4 linked regions of the Mus musculus genome follow. The protein of the gene in region 2 purifies or fractionates together with the protein of the main gene of each other region. This does not show direct contact. Links are inferred from orthologs where the notes say so. Each region holds a gene or a part of one and is shown on either strand. Other genes may lie near its edges. The genes, in order: Atxn2l, G3bp2, Caprin1 and Trim25.

The links.
Region 1: the proteins of G3bp2 (region 2) and Atxn2l purify together in Homo sapiens (affinity purification with mass spectrometry; 4 studies listed by BioGRID and IntAct, counting the BioPlex papers as one, with this or other methods). This does not show direct contact. The link is inferred for Mus musculus from reciprocal best matches to the Homo sapiens genes G3BP2 and ATXN2L.
Region 3: the proteins of G3bp2 (region 2) and Caprin1 purify together in Homo sapiens (affinity purification with mass spectrometry; 5 studies listed by BioGRID and IntAct, with this or other methods). This does not show direct contact. The link is inferred for Mus musculus from reciprocal best matches to the Homo sapiens genes G3BP2 and CAPRIN1.
Region 4: the proteins of G3bp2 (region 2) and Trim25 purify together in Homo sapiens (affinity purification with mass spectrometry; 4 studies listed by BioGRID and IntAct, counting the BioPlex papers as one, with this or other methods). This does not show direct contact. The link is inferred for Mus musculus from reciprocal best matches to the Homo sapiens genes G3BP2 and TRIM25.

Annotation. Positions count from the first base shown.
Region 1 is NC_000073.6:126,499,045-126,506,845, forward strand, and holds the start of Atxn2l (ataxin-2-like protein), read right to left. Parts: upstream 4,394-7,801; 5' UTR 4,149-4,393; coding exon 3,856-4,148; intron 3,556-3,855; exon of another isoform or gene 3,287-3,555; coding exon of another isoform or gene 3,252-3,286; exon of another isoform or gene 3,186-3,251; intron 3,057-3,185; exon of another isoform or gene 3,031-3,056; coding exon of another isoform or gene 2,909-3,030; intron 2,415-2,908; coding exon 2,378-2,414; intron 2,269-2,377; coding exon 2,212-2,268; intron 2,131-2,211; coding exon 2,059-2,130; intron 1,830-2,058; coding exon 1,679-1,829; intron 1,210-1,678; coding exon 1,085-1,209; intron 198-1,084; coding exon 106-197; intron 1-105. UniProt on the Homo sapiens protein: Involved in the regulation of stress granule and P-body formation.
Region 2 is NC_000071.6:92,068,646-92,075,646, forward strand, and holds part of G3bp2 (ras GTPase-activating protein-binding protein 2), read right to left. Parts: intron 6,093-7,001; coding exon of another isoform or gene 6,081-6,092; intron 4,634-6,080; 5' UTR 4,610-4,633; coding exon 4,515-4,609; intron 1,794-4,514; coding exon 1,712-1,793; intron 1-1,711. Other genes in the region: uncharacterized protein Gm46933, read left to right, coding at 6,081-6,092.
Region 3 is NC_000068.7:103,774,765-103,781,765, forward strand, and holds part of Caprin1 (caprin-1), read right to left. Parts: intron 4,808-7,001; coding exon 4,569-4,807; intron 4,483-4,568; coding exon 4,400-4,482; intron 3,337-4,399; coding exon 3,199-3,336; intron 1,394-3,198; coding exon 1,341-1,393; intron 1,257-1,340; coding exon 1,170-1,256; intron 1,002-1,169; coding exon 846-1,001; intron 762-845; coding exon 653-761; intron 1-652. UniProt on the Homo sapiens protein: mRNA-binding protein that acts as a regulator of mRNAs transport, translation and/or stability, and which is involved in neurogenesis, synaptic plasticity in neurons and cell proliferation and migration in multiple cell types.
Region 4 is NC_000077.6:89,003,534-89,010,534, reverse strand, and holds part of Trim25 (E3 ubiquitin/ISG15 ligase TRIM25), read right to left. Parts: intron 5,807-7,001; coding exon 5,711-5,806; intron 1,417-5,710; coding exon 1,183-1,416; intron 1-1,182.

The sequences.
Region 1 (7,801 bases), on a different chromosome or scaffold from region 2:
TGTTTCATTCAGAGATCTGCCTTACTAAATAAACAGTAAGCCCCCACACAAGCTCTACACACCAGCCACCCAACTTCACCACCCTCAAACTTCCAAAATGCTTACGTGTAAGAAGATAGACTGCTGTCATAGGTGGTCTTCACTCCATAGTTCTCCTCATTAAATTTGAACATCTCATTGGGATCCCATCCATTAGACTAAGAGAACACAAAGAATGTTTAAAACTCAGCAAAAAAAAGGAAAAATGGCATGCCATTTCCTCTCCACCATGTTAAAAACTTCAACTCCTGTACAAACTATACACACTGACATGCATTCAGTGACAAGATTTGTTTATGAGAAATGATCCTCCTGTTTCCACATTCTAAACTCTGCAATTACAGGTGCTATCATGGCTCTCTATATACATGCGTTGGCTTAAAAATAAATAAAAAATAAAAATAAAAAACCCTCGGGGGGCTGGAGAGATGGCTCAGTGATTAAGAGACTGACTGCTCTTCTGAAGGTCCTGAGTTCAAATCCTAACAACCACATGGTGGCGGCTCACAACCATCCGTAATGTGGACCTGTTCCTGTGGGATTGTAGGTATGTGAAAGTCTGAGGACGATCTGCGAGAATCTGTTCCTTTTCACCACTTGGCTTGGTGGCAAGCACCTTTATCTGACCCACCTTGTCAGACTAATTTAGAACTCTAAGCTCATCGAAGAAACAGAATGAAGAAGCATGGATATATACAATAGTCCTCCTATACACCTCCATTTCTCTCCTCTGCTTTTCTTTAAAGACTTTTTGTTATGTAGCCCAGATTGTCCAGGACTTCACAATTCTTCTGCTACAACTTCCCCAAGGCTGGATTAGAGGTATGGGTTATACTATGCCCACCTTATACTTTTTACTACAATTACAAGTGCTGCCACGGAGAAACTTTAATGGTTTTCAATGCAGAGGATGGGAAAACTGACCAAGAACAACCTCAAAACAAAAGTGAACAAACATAGCCCAACAGAAAATAATGAACGTCCACATCAGCAACCCATGTTGACCACAACTCAGCCCGCCTGTTCTCAGGAAGGGAGAACATACCATATCGGATTCCAGATCGTAGTCGTCACTGTTGCTGTCACCGCCCTCCCAACGTTGAAGCACCTTCTCTTTGTGTTCTCCATTCACCTTAGAGTTCATGGCAATGGCTGAGTCAGTGAACTTATCTGTTGGCAGAGGGGAGCAACAGAGTCAGGTGATGGGCCCACTTCTCATCCTTACTCCCCACCCCATGCAGTTTAACAAAATGAAACTAAGAAACACCAGATTTAGTTTATGGGAGCAGGGAGAACTATTGAAACAGGTCTATCTAGATGGGGTGGTGAATGCTGGTAATGCGAGCACTCAGAAGCAGAGGCAATTTGATCTCTGCCAGTCTAAGGAGGCTAGCCATATATACAAAGACCCTTCCTTCCTCAACAGAAAAACAAAGCCCCAATCTAATCTAAAAGCTAAACTTGAAAACATGAAAAAAGGAGTACCTACACCGCTAGACACATTCACTCGACTCTATCAGGCATCAAGCTATGTGCTCAAGAACTCAAGTCACCTCTACTGAAAAGTAAATCAAGTCAACGTGTTCAACCTGCGGGCTAGCTCTCGTCAGCTTCTTGACACAACAGTTCAGAGCGATACCTTTAGTAGCATAATTGAAGTCAACATTTCGGAAGTGGACAAGCAGAACGTCGCTTGGTTTAAACACCATGGTGTCCACAATGTCTTCCCGGCGAGGCCCACCTGCTGGCTCAGATGCTTTCCGATGCACCGCGTCAACTGCCAGTTCAAACTACAAAAGCCCCAGTCCAACATGGCAGGGTCAGTATCAGAGGGAGAAGATGGATTCGCTCTTAAAGCTTTCTAGTCTTTCAACGTCAAATGCCCATGTCACTCTGTATTTCCCAATGTCAACCAGAGAACTTAGCAAAAGCCTCAAAACTGCCCGCTGTCACCCAACACACACTCTCAATCTCACTCTCCTTCACAGCTTCAGAAATTCCTAATTTGAGTACACTGACCTTTGAGCTCAGAGTCTTGAAAATGCCCTCGTAAGTGGTGCCATTTTTCACCTTTACGTCACAAGTAGAACCCTAGCAAGGTGAACCATTTAGTCATTTTAAGAAACTGAAACAGCATATTCCTCAGACACCCAGGTTAAAGCTGTTACTTACCACTACAGCTGTCAGGAAATGCAGCATCCTGGAATTGTTATAGACACCTTCAAACACCTGTCACACGAGAAAAAAGTAAAGGGCAGCAGGTGAATACTCTCTTCTCAGATTGTCCCACACTGTCTGTCTTCCGAGTGTCTTTACAGGAGGAAAAGAAGGCACTCACGGGTGACTGTGGGGGTCCCTTTCCGGTGGTCTGTCCCCTATTAAAAAAGAAAGAGAGAAATAGTTTTAATTAGTAGTGAACCCTAGACCAATGTACCAGGTCAACTTGCTGATTTAGGCTATAGACTGATTAACAAGCAAGACTTTTCAAGTTCTCACATTAAAGAAGAAAGTAGGCATTAACTGCTAAAACATTTTCTCCGAATTCAAGATTTTAAAAAAGTCAACAAAATATTCAATAAACAATAGCTGTCAAATGTTCCTAACAGTCAGTGCAATACAACCTGACTTCCTCTAAGGGACAGTCCTTCACTCTTCCGATAAACCACTGCTATAGTATTAAACCAACAGCACACTTCAGCTGTGAAGGCGAAAGCCCGGGCATCCCAAACGCAGCACCTCTGAGCTTAGACACATTACCTCCCAAAGGAAAAAAAGCTTTCAGGAGCCTTGGATTCCAAATCCCAGGAGAAGTATATTCTCCACACCCCACCCTTTCGCCCTCATTATTTTCATTCAGCCTGTTACCCACTCTGAAGGGATCCCCAAACGCCAGGTAACACAGCTCCTCGACGGCTGATGTAACCGGCAGTTGAGGAGGGCGAGGAGGGGGCCGTTGGCTGGGCTGGGGGACCGCGCAGCCGCAAAAACCATCCACCGGGATGCCTCGCCCGGTCTGCGCCTGCGCACTACAGCCCATCGCGCTCCACCACCCGCTCTAGAACAGAAGCCACTGCGCCTGCGTCCAGTGCCTCTTTCTATCGCATTGACACACCGAGAAAAACCGAGGGCACCCACTCCCCACTCACCGACACCAAACGCCCCTAAACCCTCCAAATAACCCCTCCCTCCTCCGCCTCTGCTCTACGTGTTACCGGGGCAAGCCAATGCCCGAGTCATAAGACAGCATCCGCGCGCACGTACGCCCGGGGAGCGCGCGCGCAGGAGCTTCCCAGCCCGCAGTCTTCCCAGTAGCCGCTGCTTCCGCGCCCCCGCCCACCCCGTCCCCCTCTCACTGGCTACACCGGGAAGAGGAGGGAACAATCCGCTCCCAAGTCCCTCCCTCCCCATTGGCCAAACTGTGGGCCGCGCGCCCCCCCCCCATTGGCTACAGTCGGGGACCCCTTCATGCAGCTGACTCCCCATTGGCTGAAGCCGGGGACCGCGAGATCCTTCGTGGTAATGGAGCTAGGGACCCCATCACCTCCTCAACCCCCCCAACACCCTTTGCCGACGGAGCTGGCGGGATGCGCCCCGCCTCCCCTCAGGGCCCAGACCCCCAAGAGGTGACTAGGCCCAGAGAGCCGAGCGCTGCCCCCAGGCTCCTGGAGACCTCCCGGAGAGCTTTCTCTCCGACCTGTTGGCACGAGGGTCCACCCCCTCCTTCACGGGGTCCTGGGCCCCCAAGAGCCCCCTCAACAGCTCCAAGCCGGGGCGCTGCCTCCCGGGCTCTCCCTAGCCAGGAAGCCCCGTCCTCACCTGACGCTGCCGATAGCCACTGCCCCTGGCCTTTCTTGATGCTGCGGCGGCGCTGACGCCGCTAAGATGCTTTCGGCTCCGCGGCGAAGTCCGCTGCCGGCAGCGGCTGCAGGCCCCAGGCACGGAGAGACCGCTGCGGGAGGCCCCGGGGGAGCCGCGGTGGCGGTCAGCGGTCCCGGGAGGCCGCCGTTGGGAGGGCTGGTCCCGCCGGGAGACCGGCGAGCCACGGCCTGTTGCGTGGGGGGCGGCTGCTGGGGTTGGGAGGTCTGTTGTGGCGGCTGAGGCTTCAACATGATGGCAGCGTCCGGAAGAGAAATAAGAGGGAAGGGAAAGAGGGCCTGGGGCCGGGCCCCTGCTGGAGAGCGCGGGAAGCGAAAGAGATCGCCAAGCAGGGGACCCGCCGTTGGCGGGCGGGGGGAGCCCCGCGGTGTCAGGGGTGGATCGAGAAGACGGCGGCGCGAGGAAGCGCCGCGAGGCGGAAGGGGAGGGGGGATCTCGCGGGCCGGTGGACAGCGAGAGGGCGCGAGCCGGCCTGGCGCGCGTGCGCGTCGCTGGAGAAGGAGAGGGAGGAGCGCGGGCGGAAGCGCCGGCGGGGGAGGGGCGCGGGGAGCGCCGCCAGGCGGTTAGTTCCGGAACAGAGGAGAGGCTCGAGCCGTGGCTCCGACCGGCCTAGCCCCTGGGGCGGAAAAGGAGCCGCGCAGGCGCTTAGCGCACCTCTAGGTTCTGAGCCACCTTAAATGCTGGCGGCCGCGGTTGCTTCACAACGAGGGTGGGCGGGGCCAAAGCCGGGAAGGGGAAGTGCCGGCGGACCCGCCCCTCCCACGCCGCCAGCGTAACGTCAGAAAGTCTCCGCGGTGGTGTGAGGTGTCACGTCGTAGCGTGAGGTTCTTCCGCCACTGGGTGACCGGTGGGCGGAGTCTCGGGAGCAAGAGAAAAAAAAAAATCCCTAGGACTGGAAAAACCTAGTACAGGTAACTTAAGGCAGGTGGGTTTTTAAAGGTGCTGCTCTCCATCTTAACTGCTTTAAAATATTAATGAGCGTCAGAATGACTATTCTGAGCATATGTGCATCCCAACAAATGTGCCCAATTCTAAATTGAAATTCAGTGATTCTTTCAGGGAGAGCGACCCCCTGAACAGTAGCAATACAAGCCGTCTGAAAGCCAGACTGACTAAGAGTATATTACAGAATCCAGCTGCATAGCAAGACACGGTTAGAAAACCGTGGTATAGTGCTTGCCTATTAAGGCAGCCCTCATTCAAAATTAGGGCAGCTATGGTGCTTCAGAACTTTAATTCCAGTACTAGGAAGGGAAGGTAGGAGGATCAAAAGTTTGAGGCTATCCTGCATTGTATAATAAATATCAGGTCAGCTGGGCAGACCCTGTTTCAAAAGGAAAAGTTGATGGAAAAGTCCATGCTTTGGGTAACTAAGCCACTCAAAGCTCAAGCTAGTGGAAGATTTATATAATTTGAGCAAAGGTACTTGGTAAAACACAGAGGGCAGGAAAATGGATTTCTATACAGACGAAATGGATCTGACAGGACATACGAAAAAATGGAGCTTGATTGGAGCCTGAAATCCTCACTCTATAGCTGTAGCTGGCTTTTAACTCCTTGTGTATACCATGGTGGTCTTAAAACTCACAGAGATCTGTCTGCCTTCTGAGTGCTATGATTCAGACATAAATCAGCACAGCCAGACTTTGTCATGGAATGTTAACCTAAAATCCCTTTATTGATAACATAATCCAAAAATTAAATCTAGGATTGGGTAGACACTAAGAAATTGAATATAGCAGTACAGATGAGTCCAAATCTACACTTCAGATTAATAACCCATCATAAGCGGAAAAATGGAATTAATTTAAAGTCATCCTCAAATATTTAGTCTGAGGCCAGTGGGTCAGGTGAGAGTCGGCATACACTTCCTAAAAAGTATAGGAGCAGGGGAAAGATAAATAGGTCATTTGGTAGCAGTGTACAAAATAAAAATGTATGTGTGGGTGGTTTGCCTTGCAGGTATGTTGGTGTAGAGTGTGTGTGTGTGTGTATGTGTGTTGGTCTTGAAGGCCAGAAGCAGGTATCCGGTCCCAGGGACTGGAGTTAACAGTGATAAGAAGCCATGCAATTGTGTTGCTGAGAATCAAAGCCAAGTCCTCTGGAACTGAGCCATCTCTCCAGCTCCCAGATTTTTAAATTTTATCGTAGGCATGTGTGTGCTTGAGTGCATTATGCATACCATGTAGGTTGCTAGTGGAAAACTGACTTCCAGGCAGCTAGGGTGAGGGTCTTAAAGCCCACACCCACAGTGACTATTCCACCTATTCCAACAAGGCCACACCTCCAAATAGTGCCACTCCCTGGGCCAAGCATATTCAAACCATGACAAATGTGTATTGTTTTCCAGAGAACCTGGGTTCAATTCCCAGAACCCATGTCAGACAGCTCATAATTGCCTGCAACTCAAGCGCCAGAGGGTTTACTGCCTCTGTTTTTTATAGGTACCTACAAACTTGGCATCAACTCACACAGACAGACACATGGATGATTGAAAATAAAATCTTAAAAAAAAAAAAAAAGAAAAGAAAATCTTTAAGGAAAACCCCTTCAAGCCAGGCAGTGGTGGCACATGCCTTTAATCCCAGCACTTGGGAGGCAGAGGCAGGTGCATTTCTTGAGTTCGAGGCCAGCTTGGTCTATAGAGTGAGTTCCAGGACAGTTGTGGCTATACAGAGAAACCCTGTCTCGAAAAACAAAAAAAAGACCTCTTGAGTTTCATTGACGTGTTAGGCAAGCAGGACCCACACTCTCCATTTACCGCCTGCTGCCGTTGTTCCCTATGAGCATTTGAATTTGAAATCTGTTTTTAAAATTGAGACAGGGTCCGGGCGTGGTGGTGCACGCCTTTAATCCCAGCACTCAGGAGGCAGAGGCAGGCGGATTTCTGAGTTCAAGGCCAGCCTGGTCTACAGAGTGAGTTCTGGGACAGCCAGGGCTACACAGAGAAACCCTGTCTCAAAAAAAAAAAAAATTGAGACAGGGCCTGGTACAGCCACCACTTGCTCCACTCAGTTAAGACTTGGTAGAGACAAAGGACCATTGATCTCCAAGGACATACTTCTTTCTGTTCTGCTCTGATGCCCTCCTTGGGCCATATCCAGGTCACTCAGGCTGTGTGATAAGTGGTTTTAGCTGAGTTTGTCCTGTCTAGATGCCACTCTCTTTGCTTGTCTTAGGTAAGGCATATGGGCTCATTGTGTTGAATGCTGGGATTGCTAGTCAGATACAATTTTTAAGCAGCTGGTGCCCAGTGCTGCTCCTTGTGGTTGTGGCTAGTCTCATCCTGTAGCCTCCAGTGGTCTTAACTCTCCATTTTATTTACTCTTATTTTATGTGTATGAGAATTTTCTCTGTGTGTATATTTGTGTACTGCATACACAGGTGGTACCTTCAGAGGCCAGAAGAGGGTGTCATATATCCTAGGACTGTGATTACAGGCTGTTGTGTGTTACTATATGGGTGCTGAGAATAAACCTGGTTTCCTTTTAGGAACATCAAGCATTCTCAACAGCTGATCCATCTCTCTAATCCTTCTATCCCCTTCCCCCACACCCTTTATTGCTATGTAACCTAGGATACCCTGGAACTCTCAAGAGATCTGTCTGCCCTTGTCTCCCAGGTGATGGGATATGTGCTTTTATCCCAGCCCTCAGGAGGCAGATCTCTGTGTGTCCCAGGCTGTTCAGGATACATAGCAAGACCCTGTCAAAAACAAAAAGTAACTGAAATAAAATAAAAACTTCCCAACTTGGAAGAGGGAAGATTTTGTATATCAACTAACACAGCCTACTAGCGGAACCTTTTAGGTTGGGGAAGCCCTAAGGTCTGTTGCTGTCCTACATCAGGTAGCATGGAACTCTGCAACAATGTAAACCTCCACCAG
Region 2 (7,001 bases):
TACAACAGACCACCCATAAACTACTATCACCTCTATACAAGAAGTCCTAATGCGTCTTGATACTGTGTTTAGTCTGGTGGTGTACAGCTCTTCCCCCCCTTCATTTCTCTGGCTGGCTCAGTTGGTAGAGCTTGAGACTTAAATCTCAGGGTTGCAGGTTTGAGTTCTGTTGGGGGTCAGATGTAAAAGTAACTTTTATACGCTTGATACCTTCCTCTGTCTGCTAACGTAGGCCTTGTCCTGGAAGCGTCTCGTCTCCATACAACCTAACCTAGGCCTAAATTGGTTTCAGCCTCTGAGACTTGCTGCTGAATAAGTTCACCCCTTCCTAGTTCTTCCTGAACTCTGGCTGGCTAATTCGACTCAGAAACGTCTCTCCAAGCGACTGACTCAAACTGACTTCTCTCTCAGCCTCTCTCGAATTGCTCTGCTTGGTCTCATTCTAACTCTGGCAATCTGTTCTAATCTGGTTCCTTCTCACTCTCTGGCTCATGCTGTCTTCTCCTGTGTTTAGCTTGTTCTCTCTTCAGCCTGTCTCTGTAGAACTCTCCTGGTAAACCTGCTCCTCTCTGCACTGCCCCTTAAGTAGCTTCCTTTTCCTTTCTTTTCACAAGAGCTGGGCAGATCCTGTTCTGTCAAATCTTTCTCTAATTTGTCACTTTGTCTGCCACTCAATTTGACTTCACTTTCAAACATGGGTGCTTTTTTCTACAACCTAACTCTACCTTCATCGTTTGGGATTAAAGGTGTGTACTAAGGGCATGTCTGTATTCCTGCCAAAGGGATTAAAAGTGGCTGAGCCATGCTGTACTGGCTAGTTTTGTGTCAACTTGACACAGCTGTAGTTATCACAGAGAAAGGAGCTTCAGGTGAGGAAATGCCTCCATGAGACCCAACTGTAAGGCATTTTCTCAATTAGTGATCAAGGGGGAAAGGCCCCTTGTGGGTGGTGCTATCTCTGGGCTGGTAGTCTCGATTCTATAAGAGAGCAGGCTGAGCAAGCCAGGGGAAGCAAGCCAGTAAAGAACATCCCTCCATGACCTCTGCATCAGCTCCTGCTCCCTGACCTGCTTGAGTTCCAGTCCTGACTTCCTTTAGTGATGAACAGCAGTATGGAAGTGTAAGCTGAATAAACCCTTTCCTCCCCAACTGCTTCTTGGCCATGATGTTTGTGCAGGAATAGAAACCCTGACTAAGACACACGCCATAATTAAAAACAGGTTTTGTTTTTTTGTTTTTCTTTTTTTTTACTAACACAATCTTGGGGCTCACAGTGTAATCGAATATCCTGTGATCAAATATCCTGCAACAGTACCAGACCACCATTCTCAAACTGTTACCAACTTCCTTTTGATCTTTTTTTACTTTACTATCTAATTTTACTTTATTATGATGTTTGCTGATGCTATTTTTCTATGTCCAGTTTCTTCCTGTTTGCTAAGGACCAAGCCTGGAGTCCAACTGAAGCCCCAAACCCTCTACCGTCCTCTCTTCCCATCAAGATCAGTTATTTCATACATTCCTGTAACATGTAAAATATGCTTTCTCAACTATATGTATAAAGCAGTCCATGCTCTCCTTTTGAAAACATCTCAATATACAGTTCTACTAAAACTATAGCAAAAGATCTAAAAACACCTAATGAAAGGCTACATTTTTAAAGCCATCTTAATTCTAAGACATTTTGAAAATACGTTAATTTGTGACTTACATTTTGGCCATAAACTGCTTCCTGGGGCTTTCCACTGGCATCCACTCCACCATGAACATAGGAGGAATTCCTGCCATAGAACCTGCAAAGTCATCAACAATTAAAAATACTGCCACTGAAGGGTCAAGAAAGCTTAAGACCCACTGATAATCAACAGATAAAGGGGTCCTTAGTCACGAACAGGACAGTGACTACTACCCAGAGTTGATGTACAGACTAAATAAGTCACTGCCCATAGACCCCTCAGGACAGCCATGTAACAAGGAACATGCTCAAGGAGCTAGCCTCCCTCTCTGTTGTCAATCTTCTTATTAAAATTGAAAGAAGGAGTTCAGGTGCATCCTAAATATTTAGTAATCTAGTAACTTATTGATCAAATTTTTTTTCTTCAGATAAAAAAACTTGGGCTGGGGAGATGGCTCAGTGGGTTAAGAGCACTGACTGCTCTTCTGAAGGTCCTGAGTTCAAATCCCATCAACCACATGGTGGCTGACAACCATCTGTAATGAGATCTGACGCCCTCTTCTGGTGTGTCTGAAGACAGCTACAGTGTACTTCTTTGTAATAATAATCATGTCGAAAGAAAGAAAGAAAGAAAGAAAGAAAGAAAGAAAGAAAGAAAGAAAGGAAAGAAAGACAGACAGACCTCAAGTTGTCTAGATTTACTGAAAATCAAATGTCCCATTTAATACTCTCTTCAGGATCTCCAAGTGGTTACTAACTCCACAGGCTTACAGCTTACAAATTTCAAATAATCAAAAAGAATCCAAGCTGGGCAGTGGTTGCACACGCCTTTAATCCCAGCACTTGGGAGGCAAAGGCAGGAGGATTTCTGAGTTTGAGGCCAGCCTGGTCTACAGAGTGAGCTCTAGGACAGACAGGGCGACACAGAGAAACCCTGTCTCGAAAAACCAAAAAAGAATTCAAAGACCAAGTAAAAGTCTACAACCATCTCAACATTGACTTTCCTTATTCAAGTTATTAAGTACATAATTTATGTTCTCCAGAGCTAGTCAAACATGTCAGAACTTCCCCTGTGCCAAACAGTATTTTCAGTGACATATACCGATCCTTTTGATCCTAACAACTTCATAAATAGTGCTACTATTTGAATGTATACAGAAGTTAAGAAATCCACATAACCAGCTCCCACCACTTGACATGTCACTCCGGCTCCAGCCGGAATCTGACCCTTCAGCATGCACACATGTGCATGCCTACACAAAACACACACACTTAAAACCTAAGAAAGAGGTGACAACTCTTCAGGGAAGTTACTCTAAGAATATAATTAACTAAAGCATATTAAAAGTGCTGAGGAGAAAAATATTAAAAACTTTATTCAGGCTTTTTAGATTTGTATGAATGTTTTGCCTGAATGTATGTTGTACACCATGTATGCCTAATACCGGCAGAGATCAGAAGAAAACACAATATCCTGTGACACTAGAGTTACAGATGGTCTTGAGTCAAAATGTGGGTGTTGGACTCAAACCCAAGCTTCTCCAAGACCAACAATGCTTCTTACTGCTGACTCATCTTCCAACCCCTCGGTGAAAAACTTAAAAGCATCAACATTTTTATTAGAGGAAAAAGTGTTTAAATTAAGCTAGATATAATATGGAAGCTGTACCATCTTAAGACTTTTAAAAATTATTTTGTGACTATTCATGTACAGATGTGTTTGTGTGGAGACCAGAGGAATCTCTTCCACCTTTATGAGTGCTCCATCCAGGTCGTAAGTCTTTCCTGGAAAATCCCTTACCCACTGTGTCATGTTGCTGACCTCAAAGTTATACTGTTAACAATATAGCTACACTACTAGTTGAGACTTTGTTAGCCAGGTGGTAGTGGTGAATCCCAGCACTCAGGAGACAGTTCAAGAACTCTGATTCTGAGGTCAGCCTGGTCTAGAGTGAGTTACAGCCAGGGTTACACAGAGAAACACCGATGGCTGTCAGCTGTCAAATATGAGAAATAGATGGTTAAAGTGCCTACATTATAACCAGCATAAAGTTTACATGGGGAGAAAAATCATCCCCAGAAAGGGAACCCAGAAAACAGTAAATACAAACCTCTCCTATAATACAGAAGAGACAGGAGAAACACATGTCCAACAGTACACCTAAAAAAATCTAATTCCAGAGAGCTTACCTAAGATGTACACTGAGTCAGTACTAGCCTTTCTGAGGGGAGTAACAAAGGATGGACAGCAACCTGAAGAACTCAGCTTTCAAAAGTCTCACCCTCCCTCCACTTGCTCAAGGACTCCTTCCACCCAGAATAGGACTATACGTATGCTACACATACTTCATTCCAACTTCTGGAAACATTAAGCTTATGGATGTTCAACTCTTGCCAAAATAGTGATAGCATCTTCCAAGTAATACTGCTTTTCACATGAGAACACAGAGCCTTCACAGGTCAGGTGTGTGGCAGCATTTCTCAACAATATGAGAACTTCAAAAGATAAAGTCATTGATTTCTAATCACTCATTGGAACCTTGTAATGAGTCAAGCTCCACATTAGTATAATGACACATGAAATACTGAGGAGTTTTGTGTGTGTGTGTGTGTGTGTGTGTGTGTGTGTGAGAGAGAGAGAGAGAGAGAGAGAGAGAGAGAGAGAGAGAGAGAGAGAGAGAAAGAGAGAGACAGAGAGAGACAGAGACCAAATGTGTTATGGCACTAAGATATGACATGTTGTTCCTGTTTGCAAAGATACTATCAACATATAAAGAGACAGAACTGACAATAAAATGTGGCCATATCCAAAGAATTCAAAGAAATGTCTAAATTTTACCTGTGCAAATACTCGGGAGCTTTATTCAGCAAAGTATAATATTGCCTCACAAACTCCCGCCCCACAAGCAGCGGACTGGGCTTCTCCATAACCATTTCTTTGCTGCACAATGTCAAATGCTGGAGGAGAAAACACAAGACAAATAGCTACTAAGTCATCCTTGCAAAATACCACAAAATAAATCTTCTTAGATATATAACTGAGAATAAAGCAAATTAACACCATTTATTAAAAATGAATCACAGAAAAATTAATTTCTGGCCTAGTGGGATGGTACAGCAGCTAGGAGCCTGTTCTAACAGAGGACCCAGGTTCAACTCCCAGCATATTAAGGCACACGACCCAAGCCGGGCATGGTGGCACATGCCTTTAATCCCAGCACTAGGGAGGCAGAGGCAGGCGAATTTCTGAGTTCAAGGCCAGCCTGGTCTACAGAGTGAGTTCCAGGACAGCCAGGGCTACACAGAGAAACCCTGTCTCGAACCACCCCACCCCCACCCCGCAAAAGGCACACGCAACTGGAGTTACAAGGATCTGCTTGCCTCTTCTGACATCTCCTTGGGCACCAGACATAGACATAATGCAGACACATATGCAGAGAAAACACCCATACAAATGGAAAAACTAGCTTGGCTAAATACAACTCATTAATTACTTGATACACATAGCCCTCCAAGTAGTCTAATTATAGCCAACACAAAGAATAAGGAGCAGCAGGCTATATAAAGGGCTCATAAATGCCTATAACTCCAGTTCCAGGGGAACTGAACCTCTAACCCCAAAGTACTCATGTACATATCCACACATGGATACCCAATTACAGATGATTAAAAACTTATCTTGGAGTGAGACGACAGCAGCTAAAAAGCACTTCTTATTGTTCTCACAGAGGACCAAGATTCAGTTTCCCAGAACCTCCAAGGTAGTTTACAACTGTGTTCTAAGAAACCAGACACCAAGCAAACAAGTGGTGCAGCATATACCTACAAGCAGGCATACACTAAACACACACACATATATACACACACACACACACACGCACGCACGCACGCACGCACGCACGCTCAGAAAAAGGAGGAAGGTGGGAAGGGCCAGTGGGATGGCTTAAGAGATAAAGGCATTAGCCGGGCGTGGTGGCGCGCGCCTTTAATCCCAGGCGCTCTGGAGGCAGAGGCAGGTGGACTTCTGAGTTCAAGGCCAGCATGTTCTACAAACTGAGTTCTACGACAGCCAGAGCTATACAGAGAAACCCTGTCTCAAAAAAACAAAACAAAACAAAACAAAAAGAGAGAGAGAGAGAGAGAGAGAGATATAAAGGCGTTTGCCCGACCCAACCTTAATTCCTCAGGACCACATAGTAGAGAAAACAGACTTCCATAGTTTGTCTTCTGACCTCCACTTCTGTCCAAAACTCTTTTTTTAGTAAGATGGCTTTACTATCTAATCAGTACAGTAACTCCAAGAAATAGTCCTAGGTTCAGTTCTAAGTACCAAAAACTGTGTATAGATCAACAGACACACACAAGCACATTTTGTCTTAAAAGGATGTGTGATGGGGCTGGCGAGATGGCTCAGCAGGTAAGAGCACTGACTGCTCTTCTGAAGGTTCTGAGTTCAAATCCCAGCAACCACATGGTGGGTCACAACCACCCATAATGAAACCTGACGACCTCTTCTGGTGCATCTGAAGACAGCTACAGTGTACTTAATTATAATAATAAATAAATGTAAAAAAGAAAAAAAAGGATGTGTGACTTTATTTTTATTCACATGCATGTTTGTGTCCAAAGCAACCAGAAGAGGGTGTCACATTCAAGCCCTGGACCATGGATCACAGGCACAGTGAATCATTCTATGTGAGTAGCAAGGGAATGAACTTGGGGCCCAACCCAAAAGTACTTTAAAGTACTTGGGGGTGGGGACACAAAACAAAAACCAAACACACATCTTAGCGTGGATCAGACAAATCAAAATACTACCAGAACAGCTATTTTAACACATTTCAATGAAGGTTTTCTTTAAGCAACTAAATAATTTCACAGCCAAAGACATCCATAGCCATCTAATACAATGTGGTATTTTTCCTAACTGTCAGGTAGGTACTAAGGTGAAGCACAAAGGTTGAGTGCTGTCCTAGGGACCAGAGTGTTACCTGGTGTTCGCTTAGTTGTTTCTTCCTTTGGAATTGTCCTTCTAGACTTTCTAATGACTCAAATCTACTTCAATTTTTATATGGCGTATCACTTGCTTTCAAAAACAACTCATGAAGCAGATGTGAACAGTGCATTACAGATGCCACTATCTTCCTCCAATACAACTTTTCAGAGGCTGACAACCCCTAAGCAGAAAGACTCATTGCTTAAGCTACGACAATGGGCTGGCAAACAAGTGAAATGAAAGACTGGCTCCACACACCAGCCACAAGACACTAGTGCACATGTGAGTAAGTGCACGCCCGCAGACAAACTCAGGGCCTCTCCAGGCACT
Region 3 (7,001 bases), on a different chromosome or scaffold from region 2:
CTGAGTTCAACTCCTAACAACCGTCTGTAATGGGACCCAGTGCCCTCTTCTGTTGTGTCTGAAGACAGTGTATTTATATAAAATAAATAAATCTTTAAAAAAAAAAAGTATCAGAACAGAGTGGTTGTTACATGGAGGTGAAGAGGGTAATTCATAACTGGAAAAAAAAAAACCATACATAGTGTGTAGATCTCTACAGCACTGGTAACTGTACATTTAGATGCTGCTGTGTTCAGCTTGAGAAGTCATCAATTCTATTTATCTATGCCAATAAAAATGTTACAAGAAATGATAAAAGTAGACAAGATATCACATCAAATTCAAGACTCAAAATAAAGCATTAAAAATGAGCAAAATTAACTTTCAAAACCTCTGAAGATTATACTGCATCTTCTATTCCCTCTCATAAAAAATATTGCTGAGCTAGGAGGGGCTAAAAACAGACTGTGGAAGGTGGTCCAGAATGTACAAAAAAGCAGCATGCCCCACCAAGCCTAATGACACAAGTTTGCTCCTCGGAAACCACATAGGAGGAGACCGGGTACTCGTGTACTAAGTTGTTCAGACAACATACATATGCCAAATATGAAAATACATGAACACACAATTTTTTTTTCTAAAAAAATTAACTTTTAAAATCATCATTACTAACCCTGAGGGCAAACCAGCTGAGGCATATCCATGTTCTGGGTAGGGTTCATAGGCTGTGCGGATACAATGGCAGGATCAAGCGTCTGATTTTCAAAATCCAACATTGAATCCTACAAGTCAGGATATAACTGAATTACATCAAACAACATACATTTAAATTTACTATCAATGGTGCTTTACTAAAATATACCTACCTGTATGAAATTATAGGGCCCTTGCATTTGTGCCATAAGATCTTGTACACGCTGCCTTCTCACAAGTGGATCTGACTGAGCCACTGGAGTCAAAGAGTGGGGCTCTGGGACTGAAGGGGACGCAGCCTGAGGTTGCTGCTGGAGTGAGTTTACAACCTAAAATAGAGAAAAAAGAAAATACTATTTTCATGACTGCTTCCCAAACATTAAATATTAATTATGTGATATGTATTTATTATAATCATTGTGTCAATTAAAAAAACCAACCACCTATTTTTTCCCCTCAGGACAGGTAGAAATCACTAAAGTCAAAAGAACTTTTACCTCAACTGTTTCAACTGTCCACTCATCCACTTGCTCCTTCTCACCACTGCTGAACTGTGTTTCTGCCATGAACTGCCTATTGACATACTAAGAAGAAAAGGCACACACTGTGGTATCTGCTGGGAAGGTAGAAAAGTGAAGGCAGTACTAAACTCTTTTAAGAAATCATACCTCTGTTGATTCAACCTCACTTTGCTCTGTGTATTCTTCCGCTGGCTCAGGTTCTAAAGTTAAAAAGGAAATAGAGCAGAAAAGATTTATTTAGGTCAAGGAAATTAAAACCGTAGAAAATCTACAGAATGTACAAGAAACCAAAGGGGAAACACACACATACACACTTAGGTGAAAATATATTAGGCTTATCAACTGTAACAAATGCACCTCTAACAGGAATGCTGCAATAAGGAAGCTATACAATTGAAAAGGAAAGATGGGTAGCAATTAAAAAACTTTGTTATATAAATGATGTTATGCATATATGCATGCCTGTGTACCAGGCATTCGTAGTGTGTCCACACAGGCCAGAAGAGGGTGGCAAATGCCCTTACAGACAGTTGAGAGCCATTCTGTAGATTGCTAAAATCAAACCCTGGTCCTCAGCAGGAGTAAACAGTGTTCTTAACCCCTCTTATGTTCATTTAACTATGAACCTAAAACTGCTTTTTAAGAAAAAAGTCTGCAGCCAGTCTGATGGTGGCACAAGCCTTGAATCCCAGCACTCGGGAGGCAGAAGCAGGAGGATCTCTGTGAGTTTGAGGCCAGGCTAGACTTCAAAGTGAGTTCTAAAACAGCCAGGGTTATTACACAGAGAAACCCTGTCTTGAAAACAAACAACAGAAAAAGAAAATTCTGCTTGTAAATGATACCCACATATAAGTGAGTGTTTTAATGGTATCAATTCTACTTAAACACTAAAGTGACATTATCATTATACAATCACATAATCAGAATATATTACTGATAAATTCTTCTCCTTTCCCATTTTTATAGTCAGTAACTACACTTCTAAGTTTCTTTACTTGGTTCCAGAATGAAGGAGTCATTTCAGCATTAACAGTAGTTTCCTATGGCAGGCATGATGAAAATAAAAACCTTCTAAATTGGAGAAACTCACTCTGTAGAGCAGACAGGCCACACACTCAGGAGCTCTTCCTACCTCTGCCTCCTGTGTACTGAGACTGTAAAGGCATGTGCCACTATGCCCAACTTGATGCACACCTTTAAACTTAACTAACACTTAGTAAAATGCTTTACCTATATTCCACCAATAAGCAGTCTTCCCTTCTGGCTTCAGCATAGTAGCACTCCGATAGTAGTGAGTACCATGTGCCTTACTGAATACACCCCTCACACACTAAATGGAAACTTGGGCTTTAAAAGTTTGCAGTAATTACCCCAAGTTAGATAGCTGGTGTTGTATGTTTTTACCTTAAGCAATCCAGCTCTGAACTTATACTTTATAAAATATCACAAAATTTTTGTAGTATCTGTTTTCAATTTTATTCATCAACTTATTAATTATGAAAGTACTCAGGCTGTCTAGTCACACCTGTGTTTCATTAAGATGCTAAACATCAACTGCAAAACTCCCTAGCGGATAAGGAGTTTACAGTTCAAGCCATAGAGTTCTATACACAGCCTTAAAGAAGAAATGTAACTTAACACTCAGTAGGCAGAGGCAGACAGATCTCTAGAAGTTCCATATATATGCTTCCAATATAGTTATCATACTATATGTTGGTATGGTGAGAAGTAAAACAAGTCAGACAAAAATCCTTACAACTGCCCCTAACCCATACTCCTTATCCAACAATACTAAGTAGGCAAGAGAGTTACTAATTTACCTGTGATCAAGGCCTGTAAGATACATGATGGGTTCTGAATACTTCAGATTGCTGAATGTACTTTGCCATGTTCAAAGGGTATTTGAGTATACAGATTTTACATATATACATACATATGAATGAGAAAGGAAAAAGAAACTAAGGCCAGAACCAAAACTAATCCTTATATCCACCCAAATACTCACCAGCTTCAGCTACCTGGTCCTCCACTGTGGGCGCTGAAGCCGCCTCTTCCTCCTCACACAACCCATTTTGATGATTGTGAGTGCTATCAAAGTAGTTTGACTGGAAAACACGCTCAACAATTTCCTTTAGAGCTTTATCTAAAAAAATGGAGAATACAATGTTACACTGACAATTTGATTTGAAAAAAAATTTTAATAAAAATTTGAAAAAAATTAATATTCTACAAAAGCAGTAAGAAAACGTAGTCATGTTAGTAAAACAACCACACACACACATACATAAAACAAATTACAATATGATAGGAATGAAAAAGGAATCTATCTAAACTACTATACTAAGCAAATAAGGAGGGAATAAACCTAAGATTATTCACTCAATAAAAACTTGTGTTGAGCATACTGTATGTGTTAGCATGTGGTGGGCACTAGAGAAGAGGTTCAGGGATTAGAAGAGCAAAGTTCACATGGGTTGGCTCCCAAACATCTAACTGCAGATCCAAGGGATCTGATGCTCTCTAACGGTCTTCTCAGATACCTGTACTCACATGTATATTCATATAGATACACACACACACAACACACACAATATATGTATATTCATATAGATACACACACACAACACACACAAATAATTAGAAATAAATCTCTCTCTCTCTAGTTTTTAGGACGGTGATTCTGTGTAGTTCTGGCTTTACTCCAACTGACTGTAGACCAGGCTGGCCTCAAACAAGAGATCCTCTGCCTTTGCCTCCCAAGTGCTGGGATTAAAGGTGCACACCACCACACCCAGCTTATAAATAATCTTTAAAAATAGTCAATTAAAACAATATAAAAAGGCAGTACATGCTCACTAATTTTAGTCTACCAGAAGGGATATCAAGATAAAAAATTAACAAAATTACACAATAAAACGTAACAGACTGGACTTAGGCTGAGGCTCTATAACTTCCCTGGTATAACTGCTGTACAAGCTGACAGGATAAGCAATAAGTATTTCATGGCAGAAGAAAAGCCATCTACAAATCTTGTCCCAAGAAGGTATCAAGTATAAAAAGCAACAAAGAATGTCACTAAGGCATGCCAAAAAAAGAATGCATAAAAATAAATGCAAACTGTTGTTTATATACTTGCAAAATGCCTTAAACAGAAAAGTATTTTAAAGATTCCTAGCTATAAACTCAGAATTATCTGTGATACTCACAGGTTGTTCCACACACAGGCTTTTCTTTCCCTTCCAGCAAATCCCACAAGTGAATTGAGGCATGTTCATACTGCTCATTTAACCTTGCAATAACAAAGAAAACATTAACTACCTTCCAACTGCCAATGAGCAATATTTCTTAAGATTCTGTTCCCAGACACCATCATACCTTAAACTCATGTCACGCTCAGGATCTACGAGCTTGTAGAACTCATCCAGCAATGACAACTCCTCCTCAGACAATATTGGCACTCCACTCAAACCTTGTTTCAGATCTGTTCTCACATCATCATCTCCCAGCTTATCCAATACATACTGTAACTCAAGTACAGTTTTTAAGCGCTTCTGTTCTGCTTCTTCTCTCATAAGCTGTTCCCGACGTGCTGTCTTCTTTATTGTTTTCTGAATCTGTCAAAGAACATAAACCCAAGACAGTGTCCAACTTAAGAACATTCTATGCAAGAACAAGCCAAACATCCACCACTGACTCCTTGCGGCAAACATCACTCATGACATCAGAAAGGAGTTCAGAACTTGAAAAATAATAAATAAAATTGTCTTCATAAGCCGGGCGTGGTGGCACACGCCTTTAATCCTAGCACTCGGGAGGTAGAGGCAGGCGGATTTCTGAGTTCGAGGCTAGCCTGGTCTACAAAGTGAGTTTCAGGGCAGCCAGGGCTATACAGAGAAACCCTGTCTCGAAAAACCAAAAAAAAAAAAAAAAAAAAAAAAGGTCTTCATGAATGAAGAATACTGACAAAGAAAAGGAGACCATGTAAGTTCAATGAAGGATGTCTTTTTTTCCCCTCAGTTCCCCCATCTTTTCCCTTAAAAGGCTAAAAGGACAGCATCAAAGTCAAGTATTTCTTTCCTTCTCTTCCATATTAGCATCAGCTTAGGGATAGAGAAAGGTCTTTTTAAGAGTCATGGCACTGTTTTCTTTCATCCTTTCCAACCATCTCCAGCTTAATTAAGATAAACTGACACAAAAAACAAAATGGAGATAGACATACAAAACCTATAGTTTGGGGATTGCAGAGTTGGCTCAGGGTTCAAAGAGCACTGGCTACTCTTCTAGAGGACCCATGTTCAATTCCCAGCATCCATAGTATGTATTCCCAACAGTACAATTAATTCCAGTTCCAGGGAATCTGAGCCTTTTTCTGGTCTCCAAAGATATGCACACATGTGGTATATAGACACACATGTAGGAAAAATACCCATAAAACAGAAATCTTTTTAAAATTTTTAAAACTTAAAGAGAGGAATGAAGAAATAATGAACATTTTAATAACAGTTTATATTGGCAGCAGAGGAGGTAAATGATATTACAGCAATAAACATATAAACAGGGCTAAAGTCTAATTTAGGATGGGCAAGTAAGCTTACAAGGTGGAAATGTCGTCTACTGAAATGGATGAGCTTTTCAATGTTGGGAGAAGTAGTTTAAATGAGGAAGGTCTTTCATAGGTAGCTGGAGGCACAAACAGGAAGAGAAGTAGGAATGTGAAGAAAAAACAAAAACAAAAATATCTATCCAAAAGAAGTAACTGCATGTGCTTCAGTGTGCATACAACATGTACACATGTGGACACATGCAAACACATACATCTGGAGGCAGGAAGATATCAGACATCCTTCCTTAGATACCATACACCTCAGGTACCTTTTTGAGACAGGGTCTCTCCCTGGCCCCAGAGATCTGCCTTTCTTCATCTCCTTAGAGCTGAGATTATAACCAAGTGCCTCCACACCTGGCTTGCATATGGGTTCTTGGGATCTAATTCAGGTCCTCACTTTAACCAACTCAGCAATCTCCCTAGCCCAAAGTCTTCTTTTATAATAAATATGAGAGACATATCAACTTAAGTAGCGAAGGTATGAATAAGGTAGATTAGAACTAAGCTAAAGCTACCATTTGATACAAAATAAAAAAGATATCTACTTATTGTGAAAAATATATCAAAGGATCAGAGTAAATTAACTGCATAACATCTTTTTAAAAAGTAAACTGTATAAAGAATAGGAAGGGGCTGGTGAGATGGCTCAGTGGGTAAGAGCACCCGACTGCTCTTCCGAAGGTCCAAAGTTCAAATCCCAGCAACCACATGGTGGCTCACAACCATCTGTAATGAGATCTGGCACCCTCTTCTGGAGTGTCTGAAAGCAGCTACAGTGTACTTACATATAGTAAAAATAAATAAATCTTTAAAAAAAAAAAAAAAAAAAAAAAAAAAGAATAGGAAGTGTGAGAAGGAGAAAGAAGGGTCCATCAAGCTTAAAGTGCTGACCTAAGCCAAGTATCTCCCACTTGGTTAGTATGGTTTCTGTGTAACCTCATACCTAGTATTCCTGTATTGGAAATTTAAAGACCTAAATTCAAGTGCTGAGAGATAAAGTCTTTAACCAATTACTTGGGTCCAAAGAGCACCACCCTGATGAACTAGTTATTGTTGCTATGACAACTGTTCGTGGAAATAGGATCACACTCTTTGTTCTTCCCTCTTCTATCTTGTGATAGACCCGCACCAAATGCCAATGCCTTGGTCTTGAACTTCCAGTGTCTCAGAGAAATACATTTTTCTTCATTACAGATTGTCCA
Region 4 (7,001 bases), on a different chromosome or scaffold from region 2:
GTAGCAAAAAGCCTCCACCTGGGGCTGGAGAGATGGCTCAGCGGTTAAGAGCACTGACTGCTCTTCTGAAGGCCCCGAGTTCAATTCCCAGTAACCACATATCGTGGCTTACAACCATCCGCAATGAGATCTGATTCCCTCTTCTGGAGTGTCTGAAGACAGCTACAGTGTACTTACTTATATAATAAATAAATCTTAAAAAAAACAAAACAAAACAAAACCGCCACCTAAGTACCAGTAAGCATCACGAACAGGGTAAGTTCCACCATTCCCGTACTGAGCAGGGAATCTGGGTCCTTGGGGGACCAAACGAGGTAGTTCACGGAGATCTGGGCCGTGAACTAGACAGGTGAGGGAGAAGAGATAAGTGACAAGATATGGCTTATAGCCAACAAGCACATCTGAAATGACGTCATCAGTGCTACGGTGGTGGCGGTAGTTGGGGGGAGGCATAATCTGCAACACCAAAGGGAGTGACACAGTAAGATGCTCCCAAGAGTCCCCCATAACCATCCCCCCAAGTACAGGGCAGATGGAAAGGGCATTACTGCATGACAAACTACTAGGAACAGAGAGGGAACACCACCACAGGAACAATGAAGATCTTCAACCAGTCGAATTAATAGAAAGGGCGATTATCCTGGGTAGACCAGACTCAACGGGGTAAGAGGCCTTCAAGAGGAATGTTTCTGCTGGCTTAAGGCAAACACTGGTTGGCAAGCTGAAAGAAGGCCTCAGCTGACAGCCGGCAAGAAAATGTACACTTAATTATAGCCCCGAGGAACTAAGTAGCCAGGTGCTCTTGGAAACAAAACAACCCTGCGCTCCAAAATCAATACAGCCCAGCCTGCAGCTAGACTGCTGGTACTAGGGCAATAGCCCGGAAGCCACGCCCAGACGCTGAGCTGAGGGAACCAGATCATCATCAGAGGTTCTCTAAAGCCCCTGAACTCAGGTAAGCTATTGCAGAGTGTAGACATACAGTATGTCTCTGGGAGCTTTCCAAATTGACCTCTTAAAGCCCTGACTCTATGAGGTCCAGACTCCTATCAGCTCTGCAATGTTAGGCAGAACATGGGCAGAACACACACACACACAAACACACACACACACACACACACACACACACACACACACACACACACACACACACACACACAGAGCACCGGAGCCACAACTCACCTCCAGAAACTCAAACTCATCCCCTTTGTCCATAATGAGCTCAACCTCTGCCTTCAGTTTCTGCATCTCACTCTTCTTCTTGACGAGAACCTGGTAGATGGTGTCGAATTTTCCGTAGACTCTCTTCTCCTCCTCCTTTAACTTGCGCAAGGAGCTGGTCTCTGCTGCGTCGATGACAGCCTTCATTTCCATATACTCCTGTCTCAGCTGTTCCATCTTCCTCTTCATAGAATCCTACGAGGCCAAGATGAGGGGGCTCCTGTCAGACTGCTGATAACGCTAAGGTTGCACTCCTGTGTTGTGTGTGTTTGTGTGTGTGTATGTGTGTGTGTGTGTATGGAGCACCAGGAACTCTGTGACACTTCATGCTGCCACCCTGGGCAGCCACTTGGCAAAGTCCTGCTTGGAGGTGAACACACCCCAAGACCCAGCAACCCCAGTTCCTAGGAGGGTACTGTAACTACTTGCCCAGAGAAATACACATAGGAAGTTCACACGCGCCAGGCTGGTGGCAGTGCATGCCTTTCCTAACCCTTGGGGAGGCAGAGGCAGGCAGATATCTGAGTTCAAGGCCAGCATGGTATACAGAGTGAATTCCAGGATAGCCAGGGCTACACAGAGAAACCATGTCTCAAAACCCAGAATCGAACCAACCAAAGAAACAAACAGACAGAGTGTTAACAAGCAAAGCCCGGTGTGGTGACTCATAACTCTCATCCCAGCACTAGGGAGGCTGCGACAGGAGGATGAGAATTTCAAGGCCACCACTGGCTACACTATATACTTGAGGCCACCCCAGGCTACATACATGTGACCCTTGTCTCCAAATTGGGATGGTGGGAGAGGGGAGACGACTGTTCACAAGCAAATCTTTTGAAACAGTAAAAAGTGAGTTAGTCACATAATTTGTTATCACTCCAGTTCCTCCAGAGACTGAGGCAGGAGGGTCACTTGAGCCCAAGGATTTGTGGCTTTCCGGGAGCCATGAAACAATTTCAAACAAATTCCTAAAGATGATCAAAGACGACCATCCTTTAGAACTCTTTTCAGTGCTACATGTGGCTTCTGAGCATTTGAAACATGTCACGTCAGCTGGGCAGTGGTGGCACACACCTTTGATTCTAGTACTCTGGAGGCAGAGGCAGGAGGATCTCTGAGTTTGAGGCCAGCCTGGTCTACACAGCGTGTTCCAGGACAGCCAGGGCTACCCAAAGAAACACCATCTCAAAAAAAAATTAAAAAAAAAAAAAAAAAAAAAAAAAAAAAAAAAAAAAGGCCCATAACTTGTGAGTAGACAATGAATGGACGTCAAAGACTTAATACCCACCCCAAATTCCTTAATACTTTTTATTGAGCTAGAGTCAGCTCACTTGTAGAGCACTTGCCCGGCATGCACAAGGACCTAGGTCCATTCCCCAGTATCATCAAAGGAAAATTTATTGATAATACATTGAAATAACACTTTGGACACACTGAGATAAATAAGTTACATTACTAAAATTAGTTTCAGAGGTTGGGAGCATAGCTCAGTGGCAGAGTGTTTACCCAGCATGTGTGAGGTCATGGGTCCAAGGTTCAAGGCCTGCCACCACACATGTAATTCAAATTCGTTTTAAATTAATCAGAGGTGGTCAGGATGTTTCTGGTAGACAGTGTGGTTTCAATAGTATGTTTGGACAGCTTTCTTGAGTAACTTCAATAGTTCAGAATCAAACACGACAAACAAACAAAAACTATACAATGCACACCAAGAGAGTGGAATTCACCTTTTTAAAAATTGTTCGCTTTGGGGCTGGAGAGATGAGTCGGGTTAAGAGCACTGACTGACTGCTCTTTTCCAGAGGACCCAGGTTCAATTCTCAGCACCCACACAGCAGCTCACAACTGTCTGTCAGTCCAACGTCCGACACTGACACAGACACACATTCAAGCAAAACAATAATGCACATAAAATAAAAACAAATGAAAAAAAAAAAACCCTGTTAAATGTATTATTACTTTTGTTGTTGCTGCTGCTCTCAGGGTGTGCACACATCCTCAGGTGCACACGTGGAGGTCAGAGGACAACTTTCAGGAGTTGGTTCTCTTCTTCCATTGTGGGCCCTGGGATTGAACTCAAGTTTTCAGGCTTGTTCAGCAAGCACTTTTACCCACTGATCCATCTCACTGACCCTCAACTCTTTATCCACTGAGGTATCCTTTCAGAGTACCTCCTCTTGGGAACATTAATATCTTTCGGTGTCACTTCCTCCTTTTCTTTTTTCTTTTTGTTTGTTTTTTTGGTTTTTCGAGACAGGGTTTCTCTGTGTAGCCCTGGCTGTCCTGGAACTCACTTTGTAGACCAGGCTGGCCTCGAACTCAGAAATCTGCCTGCCTCTGCCTCCCGAGTGCTGGGATTAAAGGCGTGTCCGTCACTTCCTCCTTTTCTTTTTCTTTCTTCTTTAAGATTTATTTATTTATATGAGTACACTGTTGCTATCTTCAGACACACCATAAGAGAGCATTAGATCCTATTGCAGATGGTTGTAAGACACCATGTGGTTGCTGGGAATCAAACTCAGGACCTCTGGGAAAGCAGTCAATGCTCCTAACCACTAAGCCATCTCTCCAGCCCACTTCCTCCTTTTCTATTTAGTAAGGGAACACACAGGAGAGTCACCTGGTATACAGCTTTCTAGACTACATTTTCCAGGGTCCTCTGCAACTAGGCTTGGCCAGGGTGACTAAATTTCTTCCACTGAGGCAAGGCTAGAAGTAGTATGTGCAGCAAACATCACAGTGATTGCTTAAAAGGAAATTGCTTGTTGCCAGTCTCTTCCATCTTGTTCCTTTTTTTGAAAGCTAGAGAAAGCAGGTGAGGGTGACCTAGTGTCTGATCTATTGAGGTTACCCAAGAAGTTTGCTCAAGTGAATTTAGTCATCTTAGTCACAACTGCCAAATGAGTCTACACATACATCCCAAGCCCTACAGGCACATGTTAATAATAGTCCATCATCATCATCATCGGTCTTCAAAAATGTACTTAAATTAAGAGTGAAATCCTCAGGGCGCTAGAGAGAAAGATGGTGTAGTGGTTAAGAGCACTGGCTGTTGTTCCAGATATCCAGGGTTCGATACCCAGCACCCACATGGCAGTTCACAACTTTCTGTAACTCCAGTGCCAGAGGATCCGACACCCTCACACACACATACATGCAGCCAAAACATCAATGCATGTGAAATAAAAATTTAAAAAAAAAAAAAAAAAAGGAGAGAGACCATCTTGAGTTAGCCAGGTGAGCCCTGAGTCCAATAACAATGGTCTTATTGTAGATGGAAGAAAGGTACTGGCAAGACAGAAGCAGCAACAAGACAAGGAAGACCTGAAGCTTCCTCCTGGAAGCTGGAAGAGGTAGGAAGGATTCTCCCCAGAGGACGACGTGACAACAATGACAATATCATTATTTCATCATCATCGTCGTTGTAACCATCATCATTTCTTCTCCTCCTCCCTTCCTTCATCTTCCGCTTCCTCCTCCTTCCTAGATCAGGTCTCACTATGTAGGCCTGGCTAGCCCAGAACTCACAGAGATCCACCTGTCTCTAGTTCCTAAGTGCTGGAATGAAAAGTGTGCACCACCATGCCTTGGCGTATTCACTGACTCTTAATGTTTTATTTCCTGTCAGAGTGAAGGCGAGTACCACAGCAGGAATTTGGAGGTCAGAGGTCAACTCTGCAATGTCAGTTCCCACCTTCACTTGGATTCCCGGGATTGAACTTGGGGGTCAGGCTGCACAACAATCACAACTCAGCCATCTTTCTAAGCCTTTTACCCCTTCATTTTTAATGATTCTCCCAAGGCCGGGCTTGCAGGGAGTTTTTCTGATGAGCATTTATAAAGGCTATTTCTTGGACATAGAGCTTTCTGAATGCTTTGCAAGGCTATTTTTTTAAGGCAAGAGTTTCCTGCATTGGGGTGCACCACACCTTTAATACTTAGCACTTAGGACACAGAGGTAGGCAGATATCTCCGTGGATTCGAGTCCAGATTAATCCACACAGTGAGTTCCTTGAGAGCCAGGGCTAAATAGTGAGACCCTGACTCAAATACAAAATGAAACAAAAGCCAGGATTTCCTGTCCCCCTCCAGGCTGATCTGGAACTGACTATGGAACCAAAGGTGGCCTTGAACTTATAACCCCACTCTACCACAGTTTTGTTTGTTTGTTTGTTTTTGGGTTTTGTTTTGTTTTGTTTGTTTTTCGAGACAGGGTTTCTCTGTATAGCCCTGGCTGTCCTGGAACTCACTTTGTAAACCAGGCTGGCCTCGAACTCAGAAATCCACCTGCCTCTCGAGTGCTGGGATTAAAGGCATGCGCCACCATGCCCCGATTCTACCACAGTTTCTGTGGTATCAGGATGGAACCCAAGGCTTCAAGTGAGCTACCTAAGCACTCTGCTGACCACCCGATTCCCAGGCACGCCCAGGCCAAGTCCTCCCAGAAGAATGAGGGGGTTTGGAGTTAGAGTGGGGGAGGGTCACTCACCTGCACACACTGTTGCTTGGATCTCACATCCTCCAATGCTTTGGTTGCCCCATTGATGTGGCTGTGCATGATAGTGAGTTTATTCCTCAGTTTGTACTGTAGAGAAAACACATAGGGTGAGAGAGCCCCTCCTTAGCCTATGTCCTAGCCCCTCCCCCACATTGAGGACCATTCCCTCCCTAACTCCGCTGCCCCTTCAGGAAGACAATACAAGACTTGGAACCAGCTGGGCGTGGTGGCCCACACCTTTAATCCTAGCACTTTGGAGGCAGAGGCAGGTGGATTTCTGAGTTTGAGGCCAGCCTGGTCTACAGAGTGAGTTCCAGGACAGCCGAAGCTATATAGAGAGACCCTGTCTCGAAAAACCAAAAAAAAAAAAAAAAAAAAAAAAAGACTTGGAACCAAAATGACCCTGTTTGTTTGAAAGCCTGTTCCCAGCCATATGTCTTCTGTCTCTTTCTTTGGCCATGAACAGAAACCACTGGTTTGGTTAAGCAGCTACAGGGACAATCAGGAAGACTAACCAAGGACTGTGCTCAGAGCCCTGCCTGGAGGATCTGTCAATACTAAATGTCAGCTTCTATTCTAATACATTTCTTTTTCTCCTACTCATTTTACAGCTCATGAAATCCAAGCAAGGGGGACAGCAAGTGGCCCAGCTCACAGAGACGTAACAATCTGGAACAGCTGATTCTGTAACGGCAGGGTGAGGTCGCTCACCCTACCACAGCAAACAGCCTTGAAAGTAGACAAAATATCAAAGGTGCTGGAGAACTAAGAAAGCCTTGGCATTTCCAGAAGGGGACCCAACGAAGGAGCCCAACACCCAAGGCTGTCCTCCCCAGGGGAGACTTCCAGGAGGGGGAAGGAAGCTGGGTGAGGCTTTGTCACCTCCAGCAAGGCAGGGACAAATGCACAACTGTACTTGGCCACCCCAGGCCAGGGCCACTGAGGGCTGAGAATCAGGGTAAGCTGGCCACTGGGGCTTGAAAGAACTACACTGATTCAAAACTGTCTGGCTCTCAGCCACCTCCAGGAGCAAGTTTCCTATGTCCCTGCTAAGATAGATCGGTGCCATACAGAGATGAGAAGGGACACTCCACCATCAGTCATGAGGGCTGTCATGAAGGGCTCACACACTCTGCCAGCACCTGACACCTACTACTTCTAGAGCAACACGGAAAAGTAGACATCACTCAGACACGACAGAAGGATGTCGAGGAATCAGGCGACTCAGCCAAGACCACATTGTTAGTAACTGGCACAGGTTACTAACAATGGTACTAAATTT